Linked DNA regions of Lepisosteus oculatus. The main gene of each other region encodes a partner of the protein of the gene in region 4 in a complex. Links are inferred from orthologs where the notes say so. Each region holds a gene or a part of one and is shown on either strand. Other genes may lie near its edges.

Region 1 (7,549 bases), on a different chromosome or scaffold from region 4:
GGATTGGCCGAGCAGTCGTCCCAGCGGACGGTAGCTCATGGGAGGGCTGCAGGCTGGCCGTGGCGTCAGTGGCAGATGTGCCTGTCCTCCAGTCAGTGCTGCACCTCCTGTCTGCTGGTGGGCCTGTCAGGGGAACGTGTCTGTGAGTCGCGGTGTCTCCCGAGAGACAGCTCTCAGAAAACAACAACTGGGGATTCCAAATAATAAAATAATAATAATAATAAAAAATAATCAGTGGTTCCAATTTTTCATTTAAAAAGATTCTTGCAAAAGTGTGACATTTATCATACTGTATGGAGTGAGCAAATTGCTGCTCGTCACTAGAATCTTTATACAGACTTTTCGAAAGGAAAACCGAACTGGCACAGCCTCTATTTTCAAGAGTTCTGTGAACATGCCATTAAAGCTACAGTACATTAGAATAAGTCATACTTTAACAGCTAATATAAAGTAACCTGGCTGATTGATGTAGCTTTTAACTATGGCAGCTCAAACCATAAAATATAAGTAATAAGGATAATCACAGTCTTCAACAAATTTTAAGCAGGGATTAAATAATTCAGTGCAAAAATTACAAGCAATGATTAAATAGGTTTTGGATTTTTACTGACAAATGGAACGATTGTCACGATTAAGGACGCTCCGGCTCTTTCTTGTTTCTCTTGATTTTTTTGCACCTGCCCCCTGTTCCAGCCCCTCCCTACAAAAGCCAGACGCTCCCACCATTCAAGGTTCAGCTCTGGGAGAGGCAAGCCCCTTGACGGGTCCGGGGCTTGGAGCGCTTGGCCCCGTTACCCCTTTACCCCTTTTTATTCCCCCGACCCTTCGCCGGATCCCGCTCCGGCTTTTAACTCCTGTCATGGATGGATGGATTACCCGGCTCTGGACTTTTGCTCACCCTGGATTTGGACTCGTTTGCCTTGGCCACGCCCCCCCCAGCACCAGTGCACCGCCGACACGCCCCCCTGTTCTTCTCCCAGCCCCGATCCCAGTCGTCTTTCCCGTGTTTGTTTCACTCCCTTCCGGATTCCGCCGTCTGCACGGGGTCCTGAAAAACGCTCCGTGACGGCGATTTCTACTCACAAAGTTAATGGATAAACAACCTATGCAGTATGCACCCCTCCCTTAAGAGGAAAATGGGGAAAAAATGAAATGTGTTAATTGCTCAGCTAAATTCAGTTCTCTGGCATTTTGTTCTGCTGTTTGCAACGCAACTTACAGAAGAAAAATCTGCTTTTCCACTTCTTGCACGGAAAATCCGACACTTACACAAAGCTGTAAACCTTTAAAAAGTCTGGAGATGGAATCCATCAGTAATAAGAAACAGAATCGCATTTTATGTGTTAATTGAATCCCTTGTTATCATCCACACAACACAAACATGCCAGAATGATGTTTTCTTGTATTTGTGCTGACGTTGTTAAAGACAAGTGGTTTGCTTTGCTAATAGAGCAACACTGAATACATTTAAGAAATCCGGGTATGGTACAGGTTTACCTTTGAATTTAGTAGCTCTGAACATTATAATGGTTACAAACGAGGGGAGTTCATTCAGCCCAATTAGATCATCTGGTGTTTAGGGTTCCTACTGTACTTTACAGAATGCATCACATCATTGCTCCTGAAAAATAACCAATGTTGCAAAATACTATTAATACATAAAATATTATGATTTTTATTTTGAGAAATTGAGTAATTGTTCTGTATCTTCCCAAATAACGTTATCTAGTAATACATTTTTTAAATCCGTAATAACTGTAACTTTGTGTTACTTAAAATGCATTCTCCTGAGAACATAACTATACCTGAACATGAAATAACAAACTTACCTTTAAGAATAACTATTATGTAAGGATATCACTTTTTCACACCTCCTGATGTCACTGTATTTTGCCAAAAAGGAAATGGTCTATCAAGTTAATATATACTGGGAAGCATTAAAAATGGAAGCAAAAGCATCTGTTGTATTTTTAATACCCATCAATTTAAAATCCCTAGACCACATCACACTTGAGTGTAGTCTGGAAGCCAGGCATCTGAATATCTATGTTATCTATGCTACCAAAAGCTATGAAGCAGCTGGAAAATGAAAAATACAGCCCATAAGACTAAAACAAAATCAAACAGCATAAAAAATCTGAAACACCAGCTATTAAATACTATTACATCTCTTCTAATATGTAAGTATTTTAAAAGTTAGTTCAGAAATAAATACTTTAAATTGTACAGTTTACATTTTTTATTCCCACACATACACATCTCATCTTCTGGTTAACAAAAATTACATAACAATCCTTGATTCTGGCCTGTTTCATCTTGTGCTGCCTCTCATCTTCCACTATCTACTGTTCAGTGATTGACATTTTCCCCCTGAAACTTGTCTTCTGCCTCCTGAAAGCACTGGAAATGTATTGCGTAGGAAATTCAGAATTTGCGTCAAAGCTTTCCCATCTGTGTAATGACACCCTGTTATTGATTGTGTGGTGCAGATCTGCTTCACAATGTCTGCAGCTGCACTGCTGCTTGGAGTGATTTAGATTTTACAGAGCTGGGATGTTCAGACTCTGCCATTTCTCCATTAGACAGGAGGCGATCAGATGTGTGAAGTATAATAAAGATAATATGTGACGCTGTCATAAAATTTAAGATGCTCTGCAGTACCACAGAGAGGTTTTTGCATTAAATCATAAAACAAAAGATTAAGGCCCTACTTAATGCTTTGTTTTTTATGGCCATAGCTTTTCAAGTTAATTTTTCATGCTTTTGTCCCAATTTGAATGACAAGTTTAGAAAAACTCACTATTACAGTAAACTGGGAGGGAATTACTGATTGAGGCCTACTTTTTCCTTCATGGTCCTTGCCAATAGAATTGACATCAGTTACTTAATTGAACTAATTGAGACCTTTTCACCTGCTCACTGCTCCTAAGTTTGCTGCCCTAATTTCCACATTTCTGTACATTTTTAGTTAATATTAATTGAAATATTTGAGTTAATTCTAACATCCCTTGCAGTTACAGAAAACACTCAAAACTGTTTAATTATTACATTATTTCTTAATTCTGAAATTTGATTTTATAATAAAGAGATGAGCTGGATAAAAGCCAGTGGACACGGGGGGTTCTAAGACCTGGTCTGAAGAATTCCTTTTAAAATCCACTTTGCCAGTTTGGGGAGATGAGAGGGGCTGATTGAGCCAATGGTCAAATACTGACATCCAATGGATAAAATAAAGTAATGCATTCTTATAACTGAATTATCTCTTCAGGAACTGCAACTCACGAGGAGCAGATCAATTCTTTGTTTTTGCTGCAAATGCTAAAATGCCCTCATCTTCTCCAGAAGGTACACCAAGTCTGACTAGGGTTTGATTTATCACACAACACCAAGCTTCATTGTGTTGCGATTTAACAATGTCCAGTGAGATCTTTAAATTAATATACAGTATAATATGTGCTTTTGTATACTACTTTATACAGTATGTATGTATACTACTTTATCTATACTCTGTATAGATACTTTTCATCTCATTAGTTCACATACGTTTAGGAGGAAAGTCAAGCTTTCATCAAGAGCTGGCACACTGCAGTAGCACTTCTGAGAAGAGCCCCCAGCTGCGATTTATTCAGACTCTGGATGAAAAACATGAGCCCTTTTTTAAGTCATTGCTGGTAGAATTCAGGGATTGATTATACAGGGACATTCGTATTGATACAACGTCTGGTATAGATGACTGAAATGAAGAGGCCGCTAACTGGGAGGTGCTGTTAGGCATGCACATTACTAGAAGAGGTACTACTCTGTTTTAGGGCTCCACGGTTTGTATTTGCATTGTTATTTTCAAAGACATTGATTTTTCTGTTTTTTTTAAATACATCATTAACATATTTTGTTGCCGATTTCAACAGCTCATTTTACGATGTTACAAAGGAAAAGCATACATTTACATTTTGAAACAGCTGTAATTGTCTGCATTTGTGGAACTAATTAAGAGACTCTGTTGATTAATCAGAGCACTATTTAGCTTGAGTGGCTGAGCCACATACAAATTGATTGTGTGACTAGTGTGGACTGAAGAAAAGTGTTCAGTTACTGCAGAGTGTCTAAGCACTATGTTAGGCTCTACAGTCCATTGAATAATCTGTGCATGTCATTTTGGAGTGCACACATACCAGTTTAACATTTTACGGTTTCTACTGGGGAAAAATAAACTGCACGGGCAGTTGGGTTATCTGATGACAGGAAAAAATGTACTGTGAAAAAATAAGAGTTTGGAGTGCTATTTTGTCTGCTGCATTGGCTGTTACAGGATGCATTTAACAAACACAATAATACATTCACATCCCCTTCAAAGACGTGCAAACCGAGGGGGAGTCAAGATCACAGTGTTTTCGTTATTCGATGCTTAATTGGCCTTTTAATTGGCTTTAAACCATTAGAAAGACTTTTCAGCGGCCTCCACGGCGACAGGCGTCGCTGTTGCGCTCCGCTGACAGACGAACCTGATGACGTAAATCTCTTGCGTCTGAGTGCGGGGGCGCTTGTGGGTAATTTTCATGGCGGACATCTGAGAGCGATTTGTGATTTGAAATTCCCTGACCGTAAAATCGCATCTCATTCCTCTTGAAGAAATTTTCTAAATGTATTTTGTGATTTAAAGGAAAGTGACATTTACAGTTTGCAAATTGGAACGCGTTTTGACTTGAAGACTTATAAGCGCTCTGAAGCTTTGAGACGGTTACATTCTCAGAACGTAATAAGAATCCGTAATAGACAGCTGTCTGCACACTGGGTAAATAAACCGAGGAAATGGCAGATAACACAACAGGTATATATATTACGACTTTGTATTAAAAGCAGCTTTTTGCTCTATCGATAATAAAATATTTAAATAACTTATGTTTAAAAGAACAGCTATTCTCTAGATGGGTAGATGTATAGTGACTTATGTGGAGTCAGTAATGAAGTGAAGCATATTTCTGTTAGTTTATGTTATGTATATCAATGTCTGTGGTCTTTTATTCAGGATATTCAGGATATACTCTGTGTGTACAGTTAACCCGCTTTTTATACTGGTTAACTTTTTATACCCGGGAAGCATCTCCGTTGGCACAGCTATGCTTTCAATTTCCTCAGATTTTAAAATGTCGCGTACAGCTGTGGAGATGACGGTGACGTTTGTGTCTTTCTCTCGTATCTGACTGCTCTGCGGTGGTCCCGCGCCGTCTAAAGTTTTTTTTTAAGAGTTTAGATTAATCCTATAATTATGTGAATTAAGTTTGCACTTATGCGAAGAGCTATTTAAGGGATATCTTAAACGACAACGAACAGATGTGCTGGTTCCTAAACTTAATCTTAAGCAAAGGGATAGGTACCGGCTCCTAGGCGACCTGTCTTGGAGAAAGCAGTTAGAAAATGTATGAAGGTCATGAACAGAAGTTTGTTCTTTGTACTGTGTTGCTGCTGTGGTGTTTGGTGAGAGAGAGCCCAGATGAAGTGCTGAAAACATTGAGAACATGATGGCCGTGTAGATTTGCTGGGAGGGGGGTTCCAGAACCATGGATAAAATTAAAGCTTATTTTTATTTAGCGGTGCATAATATTTTAAGTTAATCATAATTAACCCTTTTTGTCTTTTTTTTTGTATAGAGCAAGGCAATGAGGCAAAACACGAGAACAATTCAGCTTCTTCTGGGATCACAGATCGGGAAAAAGAACTCGCCGCCAGTGCTTTTCAAGCATTTTCGGTAATGTGTGGTATTTGACAGAACTGTGTAATTCGTAAAAGAAGGGCTTAGGAAAAACTATTAGAAACAAATCTTACATATTGCAGTGACTTTGATAAACGTTCAGTGCTCTTGCTCTCTTGATATATGTTTTAGATGTAACAGCATAATTTCACAGATTGTTACATGGATTTAGTTTTACATGCTGTATTGTGAAATTTTCCATAATTTGAAAACATAAACTGATGCTGAAGATATTAAGTGCATTGTGACTGAGCTGTAGGCACGGCCACCCCTGAGTGTGTTGTTTAAATGAGTTTGCAGTCATGTTTAATATGTTAACCTCCACTTGCTCCATGTTTAAACTATTTTCTGTGCTATACTGATACTGAGATGGCTTCATTATTGGCTGCCTTTTAGGTGTGAACATGTTCAGAGAGTTGTGTCACCTTTTCTGTAGATAAAATTAAAAGGTTTACAACGTTTTTTTATTTTTATCCGGCGCTGTTATTTGATTTCTGCTTGACGGTCAATTTTTGCTTTTTCTTTTAGTCTGGAAGTTATGATGAATGCGTGAAACACCTTGAGCACCTTCAAGAATGGAACAAGGATGACTACAAAATTGCCATGAACAAGGCCATTGCTGAATTTTACAAAAGTGGCCAAACTACTACTGACACTTTAAAGCAGGCACTTGCCACAATGAAAAATCAGGTAACCTGCTGAAAGGAAACCTCTCTTCAACAGACTTTCCTTTGCACCTAAATTAAATTAAAGCACCTTTGTTTGACCTAGGTTCATGCTGCAGTAGAAGAAATGGACGGTTTGGATGATGTGGAAAACAGCATTCTTTACTACAATCAAGCCATTGTCCTATACCACATGCGTCAGTACTCGGAAGCTATTGCAGTAGGAGAGAAACTTTATCAGTTTTTGGAACCGTTTGGTATGTGTCTCGGTCTTTTTCTAAATATGTGTATTTGTATGATATGAATATAACCTAGATTCAGAGGATGCAAATGGTTTTCATTTCACTTATAGTATTCTTCAGGTCTAATAGGAAAAGAGTACATAGAATGTTTGTTTATTTTTATAAGAGTAAAAAAGAAACTTCTCACTGTTTTAATGCATGCATAGTTTTGGAAAATACATTTTAGGTATAGATTATATATTCAAAATTAAGATTAATTTGAATGGGCTCATGTGATGAGTTAATTTAACCTCAGGATTGTCAAACCTAAAAGAAAAATATGGAAAGGAACCAATATACCTGCTAGCCTGTTAAGTTTCCAGTAGAAGTCAAGCTCAAGTTTATTTTCATATCTACCCGTGTACAATGAAATGCTTACTTGTGTGTTTTCCTCGCATGACAAATGGAATAACAGATGACATCACAATTCTTGGAGACGGGAACAGGAACAATAATTTTAACCAGCTTTTAGATAGGAGCTGTATGCAAAATTCAGCAATGGCAGTATTTTACTACTACTACTGGTGGCAGTCTCCCACTGACAAATATTAATCATCCTATGTCAATTGTATCAATAACTGTCAGTGCGTCTGCTTCAAAGTATATCTGGAATTGTCTTTTGCCGAATATTGACTGTAAACTGTTTGCAGTTGTAAGTGATAAATATTCTGTTGATTCTAGGTATATGCATAATTCTAATATAACCTATTAAACACATGTATAATATGGATAGAAATGGAGTGCATGTAGTTAAACTGTTGTCTTTGTAGACAGTACATGTTTAAGTTGATAAATATGTGTGCTGCTACAGGACTGCAACATTGTGATAGGTATCTTGACAATAAAATGGGTAA
Region 2 (6,910 bases), on a different chromosome or scaffold from region 4:
ACCCAAACTGGCATCTTCGGGATACAAAGTATAGAAAACTGACATTCAATGTTGTCTGATGTAATGAAAGTTAAAAATTAAATAAAAATTAAGACTTGTGCATGCTCATTAGCATTCTGTTTGGTATAAAAAAGGGGAAGCTCACACTGAGAGAACAGTATACATCCAAACCAGCAAACGAATGGTTAACAGAACACAAAGTAAATGTTCTTGACTGGCAATCTATATTACCAGTCACCAAACCAATCTAACATTTGTGGTTTGAACTATAGAAGGCAGTTCACAAAAAAAAAACAATCATCTTAAGGACCCGGAATACTTCTGCCTGGAGAAGTGCTCAGAAATCTTCTATAAGAAGCACCAGAACTATACAGCACACTGCAGGAGGTGCCAGTGTAATCTATGCCAGAGGAGGATTAAAAAAATACTCACTACGGGAATGTGAATAAAAGTGATCCTTGTACTTTCGGAACTTGATTATGACAAATATGACTTTGCTTTGTGCAATGCTAATAAGATTAAAGTATGTATTACAGCTTTCCATTAAATGATGTATTTTGTTCCTATTTCAACAAGCGTTTGGATAAATCTGGAAGATCCTGTACAACCATATATATGTACCGTTTAGTAAGTGCACCATATGCTAACATGCCTTAAAGAACAGGCAAAACAGCACAATTTAGGAAAATAGTACAAATTTACCATCTGTTTTCTTCAACCTCATTCCTAACAGAGGTAGGGTGAAACACATGAAGCTCTTTCGATCTGAAAGACAAGTAAACTGTACCTGAAATATTTTGGGGACTCCTCCACTGTTGAACCTCACAAAGAGGTTGACTTTGTTGTCCTTCTCGTGGATCTCAAAGCTTCCTTCCTTCCACTTGGTGGTACCCAGTTGCAGGCTGTTGATCCGGACGCTGCCTAACAGTTTTGGCACAGTGGCTGCCATGGCTTGAAGCACAACAGACACTGGGTCACTGGATCTTCAAGTGACACCTGGGCCAATGGACAGCCCTATGTAAAACCTGAACATTTAACAGAAGGTTTCCAGTTAGACAGCTCATTTAAGGTTACTTGTAATACTTTTGAGGATAGAAACTTTTCTTGTGCTTATTCATACTAGTACTATATTTTTTATACTCTTAAATTCATTATGGACCTATACATCATTTTTCATGGGAAGCACAAACATTACATAATTGCCTAAAAACAGCTGGTTCACAACATCCTTGTCCGTGTTCAGTATTAAAACACCAATAGCTAAACATTTCTTGGGGTTATAATCAAAATGACAGGTGGTGTATACAAAGAATGAAGCAACACACCAGACTAGTGACAAATCAAAATAATAACGTTCTGGGGTGAATCTAATTGCCATGGGAGAAGGACTTCACCAATGTGACATCCAAAGATGCAGCTGCAGCCCATGAAAGTTCTACAGATAAATTCCCAGCCTTTTTTGCTTTCGTTTTGATCAATGATGGCTTAAAATATTTTCAAAACCCCTGCTCTATAACTATTATCAGAACATGTGCTGATGTCTAAACACTTCATGTCTTGGGAGGCAGGAGAGCATGACACATCCCACCAAAATTGCAAGCACTGCGGATAGACGTAGTAATTACAAACATGCAGGAACATTAATTTTGGCAAACTGTGGAACATTATTTAACAGATACGGAGCACCTTTCAGGGGAGGCGGATTCAAAGCCGTGCATTGAAACACTTTTGACTTAACACGGGGAAGCCGAAGTCCACTGATCGTTGTGTGAGACGCGCTTACAGTATTTTCACACTCATTCAGAACCATCGCTTTTAAACGATACAGCATGGAATCTAAGCACCAGACCATTGCGACTAGCAAAACCAAATCTAACGCACAAAAGAATGCAATGAGTAAAATATGCTAAGCGTATCTTACTACACCAGATCTTTAAACGATTGAGGATACCATAGATGGGGCCCGTGCTATTGCAGAAATCAAACAGCTTTCACATACAGTCACCAAACTACTGTCCTCTGCTGTTAAGTGTCTGAGAAAATCACGGGGAGCTGCCCACAACAGACTGCAAAGACACACGTGCACAGAGGCCAATAGCGAAGTACAATTTATTCCACAATACAGGTCAGGAATCACAAATACTGAATTAAAACAGATGCGCCCGCAAATCGTGCTGCTTCGCCGTATTTCGAACTGCGAAGATTTCCAAGTGTTACTTTTTTGCGTGTGTCCGAGAAATGGCACTTTTCTTGAAGTTCGTGAAGGGAAATCACAGGGACAAGACTGAGAGCAAACAGCCCGAAATTCAACGGCGACGAAAAAAATAGACACGAGAGTGAAAAGCTGGTTTCAAAGAGGCGATGCATTTTAACAAGAACACACAAACAGCCCTGGACGTGCACGACAGTCCCCATCTTCTCAGACCCATACATCGCCACTTTCTCCGGCAACATTTATTTAGAACGGAACTACCCCCAGGTTTCGGGAGATTCCGTTTTCTGGAACGTCGTCGTGGGCAGGGATAACGAAAACCGGCAATCACATTAAAGGCCGGGATAATGACAGCCACTGTCAGTAATTTGAATAACAAGAAGAGGAGGAACGCAGGACTCCGGCAATTACAACGAATAATGTCTTACGTGCAAAAGAAAGCGTTCGGTTTCCACGCTTTCCTATATTTTGCGTATACTCCCCTCTCGTCTCCTACGGGCTGGTAGCCGTGTGGCCGGCCTCCGGTAGCAACTATGTTGTTATCGTTGACAGTCGGTCCAAAACGCAGCCCCACCGGTGTGTATGATGGCGGGAACGTGAAAATCAACAACGGAAACCCGGCGCGAGAACATGCGCTGTGGTATCGCGCGACAGAGTGGCATGGCGAGAAGCTGCGCAGTGCCTTGGTTTTCTTCCTGTACTGTAGTTTACAGGGGTCAAGGGGTTGGTTACTTTTAAACCTATAAATATTCTTACCTGCTTTAAGTATAAAATGTGGAAACCTTTTTTTTCTCCTTTAATGGAGCATAGACTTGAGCGCACATAGATAATTTTGGAACTCCCATAATCCCTTAATATTGTGGTGTAATTCAAGAGAAAAACTAAACGTTTTCAAAAGTTTTCTTGCTTCTGGCTGGGGAATTCTCTTTAAAGAAGTATGTCTCAATGAGGACCCCTAATATTTTAAAAAGCACTGTGGGACAATAAATACATTACAATAAACTAGTTTACTTTGGAGTCTAGACAGTGGGTCCGGGGCTGAAAGATTGCTATTTGTAAAAGACTGCTAACATACTTTCATTTTTTTTCTTATTTTTAATACAAAAAAATTAACAGTGTAGAGCGGGTGAAAACACACGTAATTTTTAGTGTAGGAATAAAGCCTACTGAAATACATAACTTAATATGCTCTATAGGTTTGATTAAAAACTTAAGCTTTTGAAGGAGTGGAAGCCATTCAGCTCCTCTACATTGTTTGGTAGTTAATAGCAAATCGATCCAAGAATCTCATCAAACCATTTGTCAAAAGAAGCTCTTATAATTAAATAATCTTACGGCATGTAAGACATGTCTAGATTTTTTTATATCAGGAAAAAATAATTAAATAAAATATTGGCCAGCCCTTGTGAAATATATGTCAGGGACTTGTGCAATACATTTATATTTCTATTCAGTTATGTAACCCAAATATTGGCAACGCAAAGTTGAGAGGTCACGCAGAATCAAATTATATCTCTTTAATTTGTTTTCGATTTTATTTAATATTTTGTTAAAATCCTAAAACTATACGAATGTAGCATTTGTATAGATCGGTGTAAAACAATAACTGCAACCTTATCAATTATTGTAGTTTGTTTTTTTTTTTTCGGAAATGTGCGCGCGAGGTGAAAGGTCAGAGGTTACAATTCCGGCGCTTGCTGGATTTTTCTCTCTGTTTTTGGAAACAGAGCATATATTAATATTAAAAGAAAGTAAAGAAATCCAACGGAATTAAAATAGGGACTCCGCAACATTCAGGCGATCATATCCAGGCGCTTCAGAGAATGTTGGCTACAGGGGCGGTAAGATTTTATTTAAAAGTACTTTATTCCTGAAGATGCTCTAGGCCTCGGTGAAATTTAAAATTTTGACGCAAGTGTAGGGACTCCTTAAAGACTCGATTGGCTGTTAAGTGATTTCACGATCCGATAAAGTTTGTTAAATATTTATTTGTACTGTTTATTTTAGAGAGTGGGTTTAAAATATTCTCTTTCTAATGCAAAAAAGGGTATTCAGTACAGGGGTTAAAAACTACGGAAGCATCATACACAGGAGGCAGTTCAGGTCTGTGAGAAAAACAACGGCATGGTGGAATTTCATACTGGTGGACGATGTAGTTACAAAACTTGTAGGTTGTTTTCTAGATGCAGTTTAAGTGCGAGTAAACCGACACCTTGTATTTTATATATATACACCAGATAATTCAACTTAATGCCAGTGGACTACAAAGACTGATTAAAAACTGATGAAGTGAAGTTTTAGCAGCAGGTCAACTTGAAATGTTGTATTGTATTGAGAAGGGACTGGTTGGTGGAACTAGTGTTTAGTATGGATGTTGTCATTTTATGTTTTTTGCTCTGCATTTTTAGAATCCCGACACTACATTAAGGGTGTAAACAAATACCTTTTTAAATTGTTTTCCTAGTGCTTTTTCATAATTCTGTTGATAATCAGACATTGAGAGCTTGATAAGGGTTACCATATTTGAACATTTAAAAAAGGGGTACACTCCTTCGAGAGGGCTATTTGTACCATTATCTATTAGACCTTTATTAGTTGTATTACGGTTGTATATTCTGTGTACTACGTTTCGTCTATAAGTCTATATTGATCTGCAAAATTATAAAAACCGTTATGGCCTCAGAGATACTTTATTCAAATTTTACTGTATCTCTTTATATGTAGTCCTTTTCCTTCACCAGTCCTTAAGTAGTCTTCCTCCTGATGTGCCCAAGCAAATGTCTATGTAGAAAGCAGGTTTCTCAGCAGGAGAGAAGACGTTGTGGAAGTCTTTGCTAGAGGTTTGGCTGAAATTGTATGGAACAAGTAATATCCTTTTCAAGTTGTTTTACCTTGTCCACTGGCTTTACATGTGTGGAAAACCTCACTTTACATTCCTATCTTGAGTAGGAACAGCAAAGAAGAAGTATGCGGCTTTAATAGCACTGAGTTCCACTTGGTGTTTTTTTTTTACTTTTCAAAGTATTTGATCCACATCTGGTGTGATTAAATTCTTCATTATTATCTCAACCTCCTATCAATTTCTTTAGATTATTGACCTAATCAAAATACTTCACAGCATCAGTTACTGCCTCCTTATCAATCAGATCTTTGACGCAAGGTTCCACATCAGCCCAATTCAGTGTTTCACTCAGGACAATTTGTTTAAAACAAGAGAAGTCTTCAAGGGACCTCTTCTACGTCTTGAAATATTCTGAGGATTTACTATACAGATTATCTGTTTTATCACATAATGTGTCACACTCTTCAACAGATCCTTCCATGTGCATTTTCTGCCAGTAGTCCCTTACTTGGGAATATTAGAATCAAGCTTGTTATCACTTCCAAGACAGAGCTGTTTTCCCTTTCAGTTTCTTGGATATATGTTTGGAATAAACTCATGAATGCTCAGAGGTAACACTCACTTAATTCATACTCAGAATGTCTTGATCAGAGTAGGTGGTTTGTCCTATAACAAAAATGAGGAGTTAAAAGCTGGAAACTGTATCAGTCTTGTAATGTCTGGAAAAAATGACAGTTATGTCGTGCCATGAGAAAATAGCTTAGGACATTCAAAATCTATAAACCCTGGATTTGCTGGATTACCTGATTTGCTGTCTGGTTATAAAACATAATCTGCCATTTTTGATGATGAGCTCTCCTCTCCAACTGCTTTCTCATGCTTGTGTGAGTCCACACAAACTTGTAAATCATTTGCACCTTTGTCTACCACAGAAGTACCAGGTCTACATACCAAGCACTCAGCTTCTCATTCTTCTATCCTGCTTGGAAAACATAGCAATATTGTCTTTACTTCTGAAGTGAATGAGTATTTTTGGTTTGGCATTGTGTTTAGGGATAGCAAAGTAAAAAAATCAAATAAAGCTCTCTTGAGCAAAAGCTACTGTGCGCAGTCCAGAATCAGATAAGATACTGAAATTAGTGCTGTGGCTGAGCCAGTGTGGAGGTTTTGGGAAAAATCCTCTCTCTTTGGAATGAAAATTGAATGGGGCAGAAAACTAGACACTCCAACTATAACCAATACATAGTCTTGCTCACGAATAATCAGCACTCCATTTCACATTCAAAACCTTTGGAGACAAAGATATTAAGAGGAAGATATTAAGATTTGAAAATTCCTCCCAGACAGAGATCTAAGGCCTACAGAGGAGGACATGTCTGGGGGAAAAAACAATATGGTAACCCTAAACATGTTTCAATTACAAAACCAAACACAAGTCAGAGTAGTACAGGACTATGTTAGCTGTAATTAAAATCTAACTGTATCTACTATATCTGTCTTAGCTTACATAGATATAGATGATACAGTTAGATGTAGCTGTTCTATAGCAGGTTAATATAATTTGTTATCACAGTGCTGTCATCTTACTGTTTTAACTTTTTATGGTGAGATTATTTTTCATGTATTGTTGTTGCACTGTGTTGGAAAGGAGATACCATTTGAAAGCTTTACAAATGGCAGTCTACAGTACCTAAAGTGTTTTAAATGGTTTTCATTATTACAGTAGCAAAAATCCAAATATCAAAATCCGTTTGTAGGCTCCATTCTCTCAGACCGTCTGCATTCTTTCCTTGCAGGCTGTAACCACAGCGCTGGCGCAAGTGGATAGGGAGAAGATCTATCAATGGATCAACGAG
Region 3 (7,682 bases), on a different chromosome or scaffold from region 4:
ATCCAACTAAACAGCAAGACAAACCGGAAACGAGGCACCGGCATTGCCAGTGCTGGATCGTGTCAACGCTGCACAACCCGTTATTCCCTATATCTAAAGCTCCTCTATTAACTCCTTGACAGTAATATACTATCACCTTACTCTCAGGTCTCTTACCTGTGAAAGGAGAGCCACTTGACATTTTCACACAGCACTAAGCCAGATGTCATCAGGAGTTCGGCAAAGTAAAGTGTGTCGATTCCCTCTTCCTCGTGCTTCTTAAACTGAAGCCCCGAGTTCTGCAGAAGATCTATAGAATCCTGAGAGTACATGTCCTCCCTGAAACGGCAAACCAAAGTGACTTTCGCCCACACCATCAAAGCACAGACATCAAACATGCCCACGTCAGCGCAGGAGCGTTATTAAAACCCAGGAGCTGTCGTTGGCAACACAGATCTGTTACAAAGCAATTCAAAAGAGCCCGATAGCTTTCTCGAGATGCCTAAGGATCACGTACCGCCTCCATCTGAAAAGAGCATGGAGAACGTACAACCTGAACTGGGAAAGCAGGACGCAGTTGACTAGTGATCTGGTTTTAAAAGATCTTAAATATGAGAAATTCATCAAACTGCAAAGGTTTTTCTATTATTGAAATAAGATGGTAAATTTGTGGATTTTATCTTCACTGCAGTGCAGCATTATACTGTATTTTGTATATGATGTCTCGTATTTTTTCTACCTCTATTATTTCAAGCAGACCAGAGAAAATTCTTAACAGATGGGTTGATCCGGCATAAACTTTTCAGTGTAAACCGATGAGATGTTTTTTCGGGCAGACACGGCGGTGAAGCAGAGGGTTAGACAGGGCTGCGTAATGAAGAGCGCGGAGGAAGACACGGCCCGCGAGGCCCGGATCACGGCGGCGGCGTTGTCGGCGTCGGCCCGCAGGGGTTCTCACGTACGTGAGGTTGAACTTGAAGTTGAACTGCCAGGTGGTGGTCCCGGGCGGGTAGTCCCCGCTCTCGTTCATGAAGGTGAGGCCCAGCTGGATGATCTTCAGCAGGTCCACGTTGCAGCGCAGCAGCTGGTACTGGTAGTCGACGGTGCTCCTGAACTCGCCGATGGGCCGCACCACCACGCCGGGGAACTCCGTGTCCTGGGGAAGCACAGGCAGAGCACAGCTCACCCTCCCCGCACTCCCGCGTGGGGCAGCCTGCTCCCTCAGCAGGACGGAGGAGGACATGCCCTGCAGCCTCAGGGAGGTGAGGACACCACGCGGGCACCTGCTGCCCGGGCCCACCAACTAAACCAACCCAGCGGACAGTTTCAGAGTGGTCAGTGAGACACGAACTTACCCAGAAGTGTATTTAAAACTGAGAACAAGAGGCACTTTTTTTTTTAACCCAGAAGGTTCAGAGAGTCTGGGACAAGCTACCCCACCACCTGCTTGAAGATGATACTTGGGCTTTTCAAGAAAACAGCAGGGTGAGGCCCCGGGATCAATAATAACGCTACCGAACTGGCCAGTTGGGTCGTACGGCCTCCTCAATGAAATGGCGTCCCACAATGAAACAGACTTAGAACACCCATATTTAACAGGTTCTTCAGGGACTGGGGACAGAGTAACCTATAAACAACCAATACAACTGCAACTAACACCAGCTTTCCGTATGAAGACATGCTTGTCCTGCCTGCTAGCACTTTGTAAATGATGCTGTGAAATTTGAATCTTGTGAGAAAGTTGTCTGGGAGGACAGTCAGACATGGCCAGTTACAATCTGTTACCATCACCAAAGACACACCAACTAATATTTCGCTGGAACCGTTGTCCTTTCTGACAATAATTAACAACGCAGGCTTTTCCCTAAACCCAAACCCAGTAGTTACCATGGCGATGTAGTTGTAACTCTGAATAATTTGTCGGATTTTCCTCATTTCCTCTTCCACATTGCTGGCCCAAACTTCGCAGATAATCTGGCTGGTATCTGCAAGCGCGGCAGGCATGTTGCGCGGTCGGGGAAAATGACTGAAAACTCCCGGGAAACCTCTGAACCACCCAGGAAGACGGGCTCTCAGGCAAACCCTGAAACGCAGAAAGACACAGATAAAACTCGGTGTCGTCGTTCCGTTTGAAGACGAAATCAAACGGCTGCCGTCTGACCATGATACTGGTATTCAATTGGACACTGTTATCAGATACCGATTTTAAAAGAAAGTTATGACCACGTGTGGATTGTTAATTCATTCAAGAACTGCAGGCTTCTAGTTGCAAAATATCTAGGTGCTACATTTTATTGTGGAACACTGCATGTCATTTTACATCCCCCGTATGACAAAGAGACTCGTCAGATATTTTTTTAGAAACGAATAAGCCCACAAACATCAGATCTGCTTTTTTGATCCCAGCGGCTTCAGATACAGGATTTAATAGGACGCAGAAGTACCCGACTCCAGCAGAACTTTTGACATTAAGAACACACGGGTCTACTGATAAGTGACTTGCAGGAAGGAAGGGTGTTTGTAAAGCGATTTAATGTCCTTCTGAACGCAAGAAGATGATGCCATTATGAAAAACAAGCCGCAGAAACAGTCAACGCGCGTTAACCCCCCCGGAAACCAAAACAACCTCGGCTTTCGAGAAAAGCAACCGCAAGGGACTTGATTTTCATCTGGAGTGACGCGTCAACGCTATCACCCATCTGTTTGACGTGGAAATGCTATGTTTAATGCGGACAGAAGCAAGAACGCGTTCTGTTTTTATTCTGCGACGGCTCTCGCGTTACTTCAGGGCCGCGTAACCCCAACCTCAACCTCAACCCCAGCCGGTAGCCATCACGGCTCCGTCCGCTTCCCACAAGAGGCGAAAGGCCCGGCGCTCCTGATCATCTCAGGCGCTTCCGTGAAGTACCTGGTCAGCTCTACTTCGGTAATTCCCTCAGTTTATACTGAAGCTGCCGCTTGATCCTGGTCCCCTTGTCGAAAGCGAGCACGGCGCAGTAGTAGCTCCGCGCAGGCGCAGTAGTAGCTCCGCGCAGGCGCACTGACAGCCCCTCTCACCCCTGACCCGGTTACGATAGTGCGGCGCAGTCACGTGGGAGGGCGGCCTACCCGCTGCTGCAGCGAGAGAAGCGTCTGTATAGGATCCCGGGACCGAGATGTGTACTGATGGAAAAAAGAAACGCAATATTGTCTGCAATGAGAATACTGTAGTTATAGCTTATGTACTTTCACAAAAAGATGTCAATTTGATTCAAGCCCTCTGATCAGCAGTACAGCTTGTGCAGTGAGGCATTGCAACTTGCCAATCACACAAAAGTTTGTTAGGTGCACTTTTACCCAAGGGGATCCAGGTGGAACAATGCCTGATCAGGTCACCTTTAAAAGAGCCTTAATTAAAAGCTTAGGTCACTGCAAGAAAAGGCCACACTTAGTCAGTTTTCTGTGCATTCCGTAATGCCTCGAATGTCACCAGAAGCAAGGGAGAGGGCCATGGGCATGCAGCAGGCAGGCCTGTCCTGTGGCAGCGTTGCCAGACACTATGGGGTAAGCCACTCCACTGTGTCCCGACTGCGGAAGGTTCAGCAGACCAGCAGGACAGATGACTGTCCAAGATCCGGTCGCCCTTGGGTGACCACACCCGAGCAGGACCGACACATCAGACTGGTCCATCTGAGAGATTGTTTCAGATCTGCCACCCGTACTGCTGCTGAAGCTGCCAGCAGACACAATGCCTGCATCAGTGACAGGACAGTGAGGCTCCAGGCTGCTGGCCTTAGAGGAAGATGAGCTGTCAGAGGCCCTCTGCTCACAGACTGTACGTCACCCCGACTGGCTTGGGCCAGACAGAGGCTGCGATGGACTCGTCAGCAGTGGCATCAGGTCCTCCTCACGGATGAGTCACTCTTCAGCCCGTTCCACGCAGTGTGGAGGAGGAGGTGTTGCGTTTCTTTTTTCCATCAGTAAATATTAGGAATTAGTTCGAGGGAGCTGTGTCAGCAGGTGTAGGCTACAAAGGAATGAGTACAGGTTTATTCCAGCTGAAAAGAGAAGAAAAGAAACAACGTTTCGGCTGTGGAGCCTTCTCAACAGCTGAAACACTGACACCTGAAGAAGGAAACAAACTCTCGGGCCTTGACACCCAAGAAGGCTCCACTGCCGAAACGTTGTGTTTCTTCTTTTCAGCAAGGAACAAACCTTTACTTGTTCCTATATTAGGAAATGTTTTGATCCATGAGAGCCCCAGTCCAACATGTTTTGGAGGTAAACATGAAGTCGACAAGATGCTTTGACCTCAGCAAAACAGGTGGTTTGTTAAATTTAGCATTAAGAACAAAACTGAATACTTTTCATTCTCTGGATGGAGAGAAACTCTGATTACAATGAGGGTTCTAATCCTGGAGTCCTTCTTGTTTGACAAAAGGAAGGAAAGGTTTTCTTCTGTATATTGCTAGAGCACTGGTTCCCAGCCAAGACTGTGCTTTTCATTCCGGCTGAACTCTGAATGTCCAGTGCTAATAGATGTCATAACTGATCTGCTCACTTGTTTAGATCTTTATGTTGTTCTTCAGTCAGTCCTGCTATATCAGAAATACCCCACTTCAGGGGCCCTCTGTCAGACACAGATCTTTATAACATCTGAAGTAAATGTAATTGGACACACCCACAGTGGGAATGACCCTGTAATTAGATACACCACAGTGGGAGTGACCCTGTGATCAGACACACCCACAGAGGGAGTGACCCTGTGATCAGACACACCCACAGAGGGAGTGACTCTTAATTGGACACATGGACAGTGGGGGGGGTGAGTTGACCCTGGAATTGGACACACCCACAGAGGGAGTGACCCTGTGATCAGACACACCCACAGAGGGAGTGGCCCTGTGATCAGACACACCCACAGACACGCACATACTCACACCAGGACCAGTTTTCCCAGAATCCAATTAACCCACCACTATGTACCTGGACTGTGGGAGGAAACCAGCATAGTACTATACAAAGGCAGCTCAAACAGCTCAAACAGGATATCTTTTATTGCTTACCAATACAACATGCTCACTGATAACAGCTCAGCCTCATTACAACGCTCTTGTTGAGGGAGGGGCTGTCAAAGTCTAATAGCAGGGTGCTTGGAATATCCCTTCCATTTTATCAATTAAATAGGATTTCATTTTTATCTAACTGGTAACATTTTTACACACTTTTTACCAATTGTCTAATAAAACAATCCTTACTGCTACAATACTGTAATACAGAGCCCTGACAAATTCATGTTAATGTATATAAACATAAATACCGTTACGTAAAAAACGATACTTTTAATATTTTAGTATTTTTTGGTTAGTTGATGGTTAAGTGCAAATGCACAGTACAGTGTATAAGAGGAGAACACTGCATAATTCTAAGAGAAGGAAGAGACAGAATAGTTAAAACCAGCTGTGATATTGTGAACATTAAATACTACGTGCTTTTCATACTGTAGCTTTACTCTAAAAATACACTTCATGTAAGAGAATTGAATTCAATACAATAAAAAAATACAACAGGACTCGTTGGCCTTAACATGTAGCTAGTTCAATACAAGTACAAACACATAACATAAATATATACAGAAGGAGCTACCAGGTTTGGCAATTTACTGTAGCCTTACACAGTGTCTCTCAGTGTCCATCAAGCAGCTCAGGAGTAGCTTTGCTACATTTTTAAAATGCATGTTTCTTGTGGTTTCAGTAAAAATATCTGAATTGCACTGCAGTCATGTTCCCTGTCTGTACCAGCTCATACTTTCCTGTGTGACAAATTTGCCAGCAGCCCCCTCTCTCCTGCTGCAACTGTTTCAATGGGCACTGCAGTCCATACTCACATCTGGATCGTGGGCGCTATACAGAGAACTGAGTCTTAATTTTAATCATGTTTAAATCCCACCAGGAGTCAAGGGGCAATGGTGGTGTATGTAGGATAACTGTACAACGAGGCGCATCATAGCAAAGCTGTACAACTGACTAATGTACACTTCAACGCTTCACAATCTTCACAAAGGACAGTGTTTTGTTACTAAAAAAAAAATGAAAGCACACTCCCAGATGAAACTTTCAAAAATATCACTTAACATTCGATCCTCAGCACTTTTTTTTAGAGAAGTGCTGAAATTATTAATATAGGAGTTAAATTTTTGAAAATAACTAAATGATTTTTAGTTTTCAAATTCACAGGTTTCCTTGGCACACTGCACATGGAACAAACTCTTTTCCTATTTACACTAAGGCTAACGAAATCAAATCTCTTACATTTTAAACAGATTATGCTGTAAAATAGTTGAATTTCAGCAATACTTTAAGTGAGAGGTGCTGATAAAAAGGACCTGCAAAAGAACTGACTAGCAACATTACTGCATTTAACAGCAACCGAATTCTACCTACTTCTAACTCCACAAAAACAAAAATTAGTTTGAATTATGTAAAGGTAAAACCTACACTTTTACCACACTGCATTTCAGATTGTGTCCTCAAGGTGTACTACAACCTACTGTAGTTAAGTAGCTCAGACTCTCTGGCACCACACACACATTACACTCAAGTAATTAATCAGGTGTGCTGCAGTAAATCATTCTGGGTACCTATGATCTGATATTGTGGTTCTGTTCATTCTCACAGGTGTCAGGCATACAGAACAGGTTTCCATCTCGCCAGGTTTATTGACTGTCGGTTTATCTTGAGCAGGATAGCAGAAACGATGGCCGGGTCAGACACACCGCGGCCCACCTCCGGCTTTGGCACAGGTGAGCTCCAAGCGCTGCTCACAGCTGTGCGGAGTTTGTACAGGTCTGGATGTGGGCGATCTCTAATACTGGCAGCAACAGCTGGAAGGCATCCTGGACATAAGACGCACTGTTGGAAGCCTGGGGGAAAATCAGTCACAGACACACTAAATAAACTACACGATCATCGTGGAGCAAAGAGAAAATATTGAAGTTTGTTTTTTTTCTGTACTCGTGATTGTACACTCTTAATTCTTTGTCCAGACAGCAAATGCATTCTTGGTTTTTTTCCTAATTTATTGCAAGATATTTTCGAACTGACAAATCTTTAAAGTTACAATGCCTTTGTAAATTGGGGTCAACGCAACAGCAGTAGCTCGGCTTCTGGTCATATTTTCAATCCAACTGGTAAATATTAAGAATTAAAAAAGACATACTGAAAGATACCAAAATTACCTACCTCTAGAAAGACTCCTGTGATCAATGGATTGAGTACATCACCCTTTTCATTCGACTGGAAAAAAAATAAAACTTGTATATTACTATGGCTGAAATTACAATTTCAGAAATTTTAATTTCTGAGTGTCAAATATCAATGAGTCTCAATATGATCATTATAAAATAAGTATGGGCCTTCTGCTACTTCAAATGCAACAAAGTAAACAGCACGGAATATTAATCCTAATAAAGAAAGAAAGTTGATATGTGCTGATATTTAATTATATAGCATGTTTTATGATACAGTGCTACGTGTCACCCCTTAATCAGACAGTATGTGTAACTCCAGGAATTATATACATCCCACCATCTGGGTATCAAATACAAACTGCATTAAATATACGACCTGTGACCATTATGATACACTGCTAGAATTAAAAAATTGTGATCCGTAGATGTTTTCCCTCTGCACAGAATCTTCCACCACTATTGACAAGAGATAATC
Region 4 (7,557 bases):
CGGGTTAGAAACAAAGCACACCCACCTCTGCAAAGCCTGAGACACTGATCCTTACCGTCAAATCACTCAACAGTACCCTTGCAGTTACGGTAAGTTTAAGTGCAGGTCGGGTGAATTAAGTTCACATTCAGCTCATTCTCGACAGGACGGGCAGACCACAGCTGTCTCTGCTCGGGCCCGGAGCGCGGGCGTACCTGCGACTGCTGCTGTGACGACAGGGGGCTCTTGAAGGCCTTGGACATGATGCGTTTGATCTCCACTCCCGTGCTGTTCTTCACGCACATGGAGCGGTCCCACTGCACGCCGTGATCGGGCTCCGAGGGGTTCAGCCAGGCCAGCTCGTCCTCGCACACGTGGAGAGGGGGGGGAGGCCGGATGAACTCGGGGCGAAAGTGGCCTGAACACATGAAGATGAAGGCAATGGGATGAGGCAGGAGTAATGATCCGAAAGAACTGGATTTCTACTCGAGCACAGCCAAGCAACATGAACACTAGGGCTCCATGTGTGTCTTACTGATCTAACCTTAAGAAGTAGTTTGAGTAAAGTTATACTTTATATACTTAAGATAAGTATACAATTTCTTGCATTTGGAATCCGTCTTTTCACATACCCCAACTTGCTCTCCATGAGACACACAGACAGGGAGAGAAGCTGGGGGTCAGAGCGCAGGGTCAGCCATTGTATGGCACCCCTGGAGCAGCTGGGGTGAAGGACCTTGCACAGGGGCCCAACAGAGTAGGATTCCTCTGCCGGCTGCAGGATTTGAACCGGCAACCTTCCAGCCACATGCACAGATCCTGAGCCACAGAGCCACCGCAACGCCCATACTTGCAATTTGCCAATATCTAAACCTAGTGTACATGCTTTTTATGTACAGATCTCCATTTTGTGTTCTTCAATCCTTTTATAGTGTGATAAAGGAAGGAGTGAGACTTACTTTCCAGTGGTGGGCGTGGCCCGCTGACCAGGGCCTCTGTGATCTGATTGGCCACTGAGCTGTCAAATCCAGAATTAGAGGAATCCGGATCAGGATCGTTAAGAATGCTGGGAAAACTCGCCTTACTTTGCGTGGGGAGTTCAGACTGTCGCTCTGAGGGAAAGAAAAGAAACTCAAAACTCCTTCCACTTTCTAACAGATTTTATCCACTACAGGGTCAGGAGGGGCAAAGTCAAAAGTATTATAGTAAAAGAAGCTGTGCTAACACAATTTTTACCACCAGGTAATAAAGTAGTTTAGACTGGTTGGTACATACCTACAGGAAACATCTGAATCTCCTTAAATCAATAAGCTACTAGCAGCAGAGTGGATCTGATACATGAGACACTCTTCTTAAAAGTGCAACCCAACTTTTGACCTTACAATCTTAACCAAAACGAATTTCATTCAAGGTGAGCATACTTCCATATGAATCCCTTATAAACTCCGTCCTTCATTTTTACCACGTGTGTGGCAGACTGGGCACAACACAGAGTCATATCCAGCTGGTGCTTCTGAAAGTGAGCTGGCAGGTTCACTTGACAGACTGGCACACTTAACAGTATAACACAGACAATAACTACTTTCACCCCTCACTCTAGAGCTAATATGCCAACACTAGAGGTGCCCAGTGACTCAATAGGGCCACTACTGAGTGTCAGAACATTATTACATCCATAGGTAACTCCTACAGTCCACATACCTGCCAGAGCCAGCTGCAGGCCGCTAATATCCACTGACTGGGGCATGTTCCCTACGTCCATGCAGGACACCTGCCGGGGCGTCTTTTTGAAAAGCTCTTTCGGGGGCGCCAGCATGAGCTGGGAGAGGAAGAATTTCTCCGGCAACGTTATAGGAGGGAGGAATCCTGTGAAGGAAAGAGAGGATCAGCAGCGGCCGGCGGTCGTGAAACTAGTTTTGCCTCTTTCCCGCTGGGTGGCCGGGGTGAGAGCGGTCGCAAAAACCCTCGCCAGCAATGAGCGCTTTTCTGATCGCGGCAGAAACAAAATTAAGGGGGAGAGACAACAATACTTGTGTCGATATATCTGGCCAATGCGCGTCCGCGAAACACAAAATGGTCAAACACGTTTAACGTAACGTGTCTTTCTGACACACATAATCCATCCCCGCTAACTCGTAGCTCCGTTCAAGCTACCCGGGACCCGGGACTGTGCCGGATGAAAAGGTAACAGGCGTCCGTCCCCCCATCCCCCCATCCCCTCAGACTCCAGCCGGTCCTCATAAACTCGCATTCGGGTGTTTTGTCCTCGAACCGCTGCCGGTCTGCCCGAGGGGGACGGCGGAAGCAGCCCGTCACCGGAGCGCGGCTCAGCGAGGGCCAGGCTGCCCGGGGAGAGCTCACCCGAGAGCGGCTTCTCCTGCTCGTCTCCCACCGGCGGCGGGTTCAGCAGGTGAGCGAAGACGGCGGCGAAGGGGTTGGCCGCCAGCGGCTCGGTGCGGTACATCTCCCAGAGCAGGTAGAGGGCGGTCAGGCGCTGCGGGGAGCTGGGCAGCAGGTCCGGCTGCTGCAGCAGCATCACCAGCACCGAGCCCACTCGGAAGTGGTCGGCTTTGCCGAAGTAGTGGTGGAATGCGGACGAGAGGCCCTCGAAGGAGTTGGTACAGGCTTCCTCGGAGATGATCCCCAGGAGATTGGAGAGCTCCTTCGGGGCAAGTGTCATTGTGCTCCAGGGGAGGTGTTGTTTTTCGTAAAAGAAACACCACACAAAGTCAAGCCGAATCAGTCGCCCCCGAGTGTTTTCAGCAACGCGGGCTGGTCATATTACCAGCCCACACGGTCTTGCTGCTTGAAACGATGTACAGCCGCCCTCTTCCAAGCTCTTCCCATGAAAAGAAACATACAGACACGACCAGGCGACGGTTTTATTACATGAATATCTAACAAAAACCTCAAAGTCTACCATTCATTAACATAAGAACTCCACGACTAGAAACAAAACACCCCAATCGTTTTGAAGGTTTCTAAATACGGCACTGTCGTCAGGTTGTTTTTTACGACAGGAGGCGCTGCGGAGACTTCTGGGAAATGTAGTCGGATGTGTCCATTCGATTTCCTTACCTGTGTATCATACAAATAAACATACACACAGAGATTAAACGACAGGAAATTTAAAGCAACGAGTTGTGTATTTTAATGTTGATCAAAGAAGTAATGTATACATAAATGTAGGTCCCACATCTTCATTATGTCTTAAATTCCATCTCCATATATTTATATCAATATATTTTAATTATTTTCTAAACCACAAATATATCCTCAGAACCTATTTGTACAAGTATTTTCTAGGTAGCCTTGACTCTTCTATCCTGTTACAGTAAAAACACATTACAGTCAAATCAGACTCGGAGTTGCCGAATAAGGTGTAAATATCGCTCACAGACGGGCTTTTGGACTTGCATCAACGAAACTATTTCCTAACTACAATATAGTTACAACTTTTATTACCACCTCATTGTGAGGCTCTGTATCGTTCCTCTAATTTTGAGCTGGCAAAGCAGTACGGACCTCATTTTTATTTACTGTGTTTAAACTTTTTTCATAATGTGTATTTGTATTGTAATATGTACCCCTGACGATGTTATTGATATGTTATATGTTCTTTTGTTTGTATTGTATTGTATTTGTTATTATTGTTGTTGTCTAAAAACAATTGAGCTGTCAGCCGAGTCTGTCTTTGCCCCGGAAGTGATTGTTCTTCCGCAGGTTTAGTACTACCCAGAATCCTCAACTCCTTCCTTTCCGACATTTTCCTTGGAAGAGTGAGTACATTGAGAATTCAACCGCCTGTAAAATCCGACTTCATCCTGCCTTTCCTGACGCCTAATTTTTCGTTTTAACCACAGATATGCGTAGAATTGTACATAAATAATAAAAGTATGACAGTATTTCGAAGTGATGTGCATAAATGTACGAGAAACGCCCGCTATGTTAAAAGCTGACTTGCCGCTACAGATCTGGAGTTAACTCATACCCGGCTCTGTGCATACGGCTGAAAACCCTGACAGACTGTACTTGTGCCCTGGCTGTTCAGTATTCAGTCATTTTAAGTCTAAAGCAAGCGAAGTTGTGCTGGTCTTTAAGAGTTTGTGTGTAATGGGGCCAGAAAACCGATCGGCACACGTTTAAGTTGCCTACATTTGCTTTTGCATGTGATATTAAATGCGTTTTGTGAAACACGACGGATTCCTGGCACGGGTGCTGTGAGTGTGGTTGTTACCGAGGTGTATAGGACCAACACGGCCTAGACTGTGATCAGATGGCTGCAGCTTTAGAGCGGTCTGGAGGTGCCGTGGAAACAGCCCGCTGTCCGTCAGGAAGTGCTGTATTAAAATTTCATACATTTATTAAAAACCTTCTTGCCGGGACTTGATTAGAAAGGCTGCGGTTTTGCTTCACGCAAGGGAAAGGCGGTTCTCCCCCGTGTTCTGACACCCCTGTCTGTTCAGATGGCTCCCATTAAGAAAGGAGGCGAGAAGAAGAAGGGCCGCTCCGCCATCAACGAGGTGGTGACCAGGGAATACACCATCAACATCCACAAGCGCATCCATGGAGTGTGAGTCCTCGGGGTCGGGGGGGTCTGAATAGGCTTGAGGTGCTGTGTTTGTGCTAGGGGGGTTGTGGAGCCAGAGCAGTTGCAGATATCTTGCTGCTCGTCTTAAAGGGCTGATTATTGTTGTGTTGTTCATTTGAATGTCGTAAACTTGTTTCAAGTGGCATAGAGGCCCCTGCACTCTTTCACACCCCCGCTTTCCTGCCCTGACCCTTCGGCTTCTCGGACTCCCCCCCCACCTCCATCATGTCGTGTCCACGGGCCGTGTTGTGACTGGCGGTGGCCGTTTCCCCTGAGCCAGCGCTTCGGTCTGTGCGGCTGTGCTCCGTTCGCCACGGAGCGAAAAAAAAAACGTGTCTCTGGCGGACCTCCAGCGAGACCGGGTCTCCCTCTTCTGTTCCCCAGCGGCTTCAAGAGGCGAGCCCCCCGCGCGCTGAAGGAGATCCGCAAGTTCGCCGTCAAGGAGATGGGGACCCCCGACGTGCGCATCGACACGCGCCTGAACAAGGCGGTGTGGACCAAAGGCGTGAGGTACGCGTCCCCCAGCAAGCCTCCAGCAGGGAGAGCGGTGGCTCTGTGGCTCAGGATCTGTGCCTGTGGCTGGAAGGTTGCCGGTTCAAATCCCTCGGCCGGCAGAGGAATCCTACTCCCTCGGGCCCCTGAGCAAGGCCCTTAACCCCAGCTGCTCCAGGGGCACCGTATCAATGGCTGACCCTGTGCTCTGACCCCAAGCATCTCTCTCCCTGTCTGTGTGTCTCATGGAGAGCAAGCTGGGGTATGAGAAAAGACGAATTCCTAATGCAAGAAATTGTACGGGGCTAATAAAGAAACATTACATTAACATTACATTAGGGCCAGGAGCGGTTTTGTTACTTTATAATGAACCCTTAGCAGGCGAGGGCTCATCCTTGTTTTGTGAACAAGAACAGAAAACCTTTTTGCAAACGAGGCAAGTCCCGGTTTGGCTAGGCGACAGCGTCTGAGGTGACATTTTCATATTCCAGCGGTGAAACAGAAAATCCAGGAACAGACCGTTTGATCCCTCTAGCCCAGTTGGCAGTATTTACTTGCACTAGGAGTCTTATCCCGCCTTTTCACCTTTAGCACCATGGTTTGGTGGCTTGTTAACTACCCCTGCAGCTCTTTGGGTAAAGAGTTGTCTCCTGTTATAACTGTACTTCCCCCTCGTTTCCACTTGGGACCCCTGGTTTGTATTTTACTGTTTACTAATGTGATCATTTTGTCTTTGATGATTAGATGTGCTTTTTTATCTAGTCTTCTTGTATTGTTCTTTGGTAGTTCACTTTTTTCACTGTGCAGAATAATTTTTATTGCTGGCAACATGTCAAGAAACGTAAATTGCAACTGCTGATGATTACCCATACTTGGAAGTAAGAAGACGAAACTTGTGTCCTAAAGAATAAAAGTAATGCAGGAACCATTTCTCCTTGGGCTACTTTGATAAGCTGTTGCATTCATATGGCTTCAGTTACCGTGGTCCTTAGTAACCGTAGAACAAGTGTGCAGCACTTTCTCTGAGCCATGACACTGTTTTCTGAGAGGTTTGCTTGACTCACTTACGCCTGGCTCTTTTCTGGGGTGGTGGGCTTGAAGGAACGTGCCCTATCGAATCCGCGTGCGTCTGTCCAGGAAGCGCAACGAGGACGAGGACTCTCCCAACAAACTGTACACGCTGGTCACATACGTTCCTGTCACCACGTACAAAGGTAAGCCACAGGTCGGAAGCAGACGTGAATTAAGAGGGCGCAGTGTGTCCCATCCCTCGGTTTGCAGTTTCAACTTGAGACAGTTTGGCTGAAAAGACTGATTACTGGGAGACAGATCTCATCCGTGAATCTCATGGTACTCTGTCCTTTCGAAGGGTGACCCACCTAGGCCTCTACGACACTTAATTTTTTGCAGAATGTTTGTCATGAAAACAGTTTCTCAAAGTGAGGTGCTAATCATCTTGCACTTCAAAATTGATTTGGCATTTTTTGCCTTAGAAATCATGGTCGTCGTGGATGACTGTTTCTATAGCTTTTTCCAGGAGAGTTAACCAATGTGTAGGTAGGTCATTCGAATGGTGACTGAACTACATCTTGGTACACTATCCTATTGTATTTTTGCAAGACATCAAAATATTGTTTGAAATTAATACTTTTGTTCTTAAAAATTCATATACTTTTGTGTCATTGCTAAAGCAAGGCGAAGAATATTATTTCCTAGAGTCAGGGTGGACAGAATACCCGTGCAATCTGCATGAGCAGAAACGTGTATCCTGTTTGCTTCTAGTGGAACTGTAGTGCAGTGCTTGTTCATTATGTTCCCTTGTGGAGGATTATGGTGGTTGAAAAAGGAGAGAATGTTGTCATGCAAAAAGCATTGCAAAGAGGTTGAGTGTTCTTAGAGGGGGAAAAAAGGCAGCTTGTATCAAATAAAAGTGATTGAGAAAAGATCTAAGTTGGTACCCCAAGTGTCCTTTGAGCTGCCTTGCTGCAGATGTTGTCCAGTCACCTTATGCAGTGCGTGTGACAGCCAGGCATGGCTCTGGCGGAGAATGTGGCACTGGAACGCGGGGCGGTCTGTTGAAGTCCACCTCAGCCAGGCGGGCCAAATCCCCTACCTGTCAGCGGCTGCACAGTGAAGAGGCGGGTCGGGCTGGACCCCCAGCTCTGCATTTCAGAACGTTTTCTGGATTGCAGCTTGAAGTAGAGGGATGGGCTGCGGTCTAGTGTCGAGTCCAGTCGGCATCGGACACCCACACCGGAGGAGTGCGTGTGGGAGACCGCTGGGCTCTTGTGACCCGCGTGGCCCATGTGCTTCTGTGGTGGCCCTTACCTGTCTTGGTGCGCTGATACAGTTTTGTTAACTGTTGGGGTTTGTTTTTAATACAAAGCACTGAACTAGTGCTAAAAGACAGTAGAGCCGGCGTCTTCAAGTAGGAGCTGGAGTCTTCAGGTAACCTTCACGTGCTGAAGGTGTCCGAATCCTTTTTTTTTTTTTTT

What was found.
Region 1: cnot11 (region 4) and cnot10 share a complex: the UniProt entries of both Homo sapiens proteins name them as parts of the CCR4-NOT complex. The link is inferred for Lepisosteus oculatus from reciprocal best matches to the Homo sapiens genes CNOT11 and CNOT10.
Region 2: cnot11 (region 4) and cnot9 share a complex: the UniProt entries of both Homo sapiens proteins name them as parts of the CCR4-NOT complex. The link is inferred for Lepisosteus oculatus from reciprocal best matches to the Homo sapiens genes CNOT11 and CNOT9.
Region 3: cnot11 (region 4) and cnot8 share a complex: the UniProt entries of both Homo sapiens proteins name them as parts of the CCR4-NOT complex. The link is inferred for Lepisosteus oculatus from reciprocal best matches to the Homo sapiens genes CNOT11 and CNOT8.

What each region holds. Positions count from the first base shown.
Region 1 is NC_090705.1:42,669,450-42,676,998, forward strand, and holds the start of cnot10 (CCR4-NOT transcription complex subunit 10), read left to right. Parts: upstream 1-4,541; 5' UTR 4,542-4,809; coding exon 4,810-4,828; intron 4,829-5,648; coding exon 5,649-5,746; intron 5,747-6,277; coding exon 6,278-6,439; intron 6,440-6,520; coding exon 6,521-6,671; intron 6,672-7,549. UniProt on the Homo sapiens protein: Component of the CCR4-NOT complex which is one of the major cellular mRNA deadenylases and is linked to various cellular processes including bulk mRNA degradation, miRNA-mediated repression, translational repression during translational initiation and general transcription regulation.
Region 2 is NC_090707.1:21,038,932-21,045,841, forward strand, and holds the start of cnot9 (CCR4-NOT transcription complex subunit 9), read left to right. Parts: upstream 1-3,889; 5' UTR 3,890-4,035; coding exon 4,036-4,053; intron 4,054-6,850; coding exon 6,851-6,910. Other genes in the region: usp37 (ubiquitin carboxyl-terminal hydrolase 37), read right to left, coding at 788-949. UniProt on the Homo sapiens protein: Component of the CCR4-NOT complex which is one of the major cellular mRNA deadenylases and is linked to various cellular processes including bulk mRNA degradation, miRNA-mediated repression, translational repression during translational initiation and general transcription regulation.
Region 3 is NC_090706.1:40,669,732-40,677,413, forward strand, and holds the start of cnot8 (CCR4-NOT transcription complex subunit 8), read right to left. Parts: upstream 3,021-7,682; 5' UTR 2,888-3,020; intron 2,758-2,887; exon of another isoform or gene 2,606-2,757; intron 2,063-2,605; 5' UTR 1,984-2,062; coding exon 1,867-1,983; intron 1,136-1,866; coding exon 942-1,135; intron 319-941; coding exon 157-318; intron 1-156. Other genes in the region: protein FAM114A2, read right to left, coding at 6,779-6,880, 7,200-7,253. UniProt on the Homo sapiens protein: Has 3'-5' poly(A) exoribonuclease activity for synthetic poly(A) RNA substrate. Its function seems to be partially redundant with that of CNOT7.
Region 4 is NC_090710.1:31,025,750-31,033,306, forward strand, and holds the start of cnot11 (CCR4-NOT transcription complex subunit 11), read right to left. Parts: upstream 3,004-7,557; 5' UTR 2,660-3,003; coding exon 2,341-2,659; intron 1,846-2,340; coding exon 1,681-1,845; intron 1,092-1,680; coding exon 939-1,091; intron 398-938; coding exon 195-397; intron 1-194. Other genes in the region: rpl31 (large ribosomal subunit protein eL31), read left to right, coding at 4,446-4,552, 4,955-5,080, 6,164-6,276. UniProt on the Homo sapiens protein: Component of the CCR4-NOT complex which is one of the major cellular mRNA deadenylases and is linked to various cellular processes including bulk mRNA degradation, miRNA-mediated repression, translational repression during translational initiation and general transcription regulation.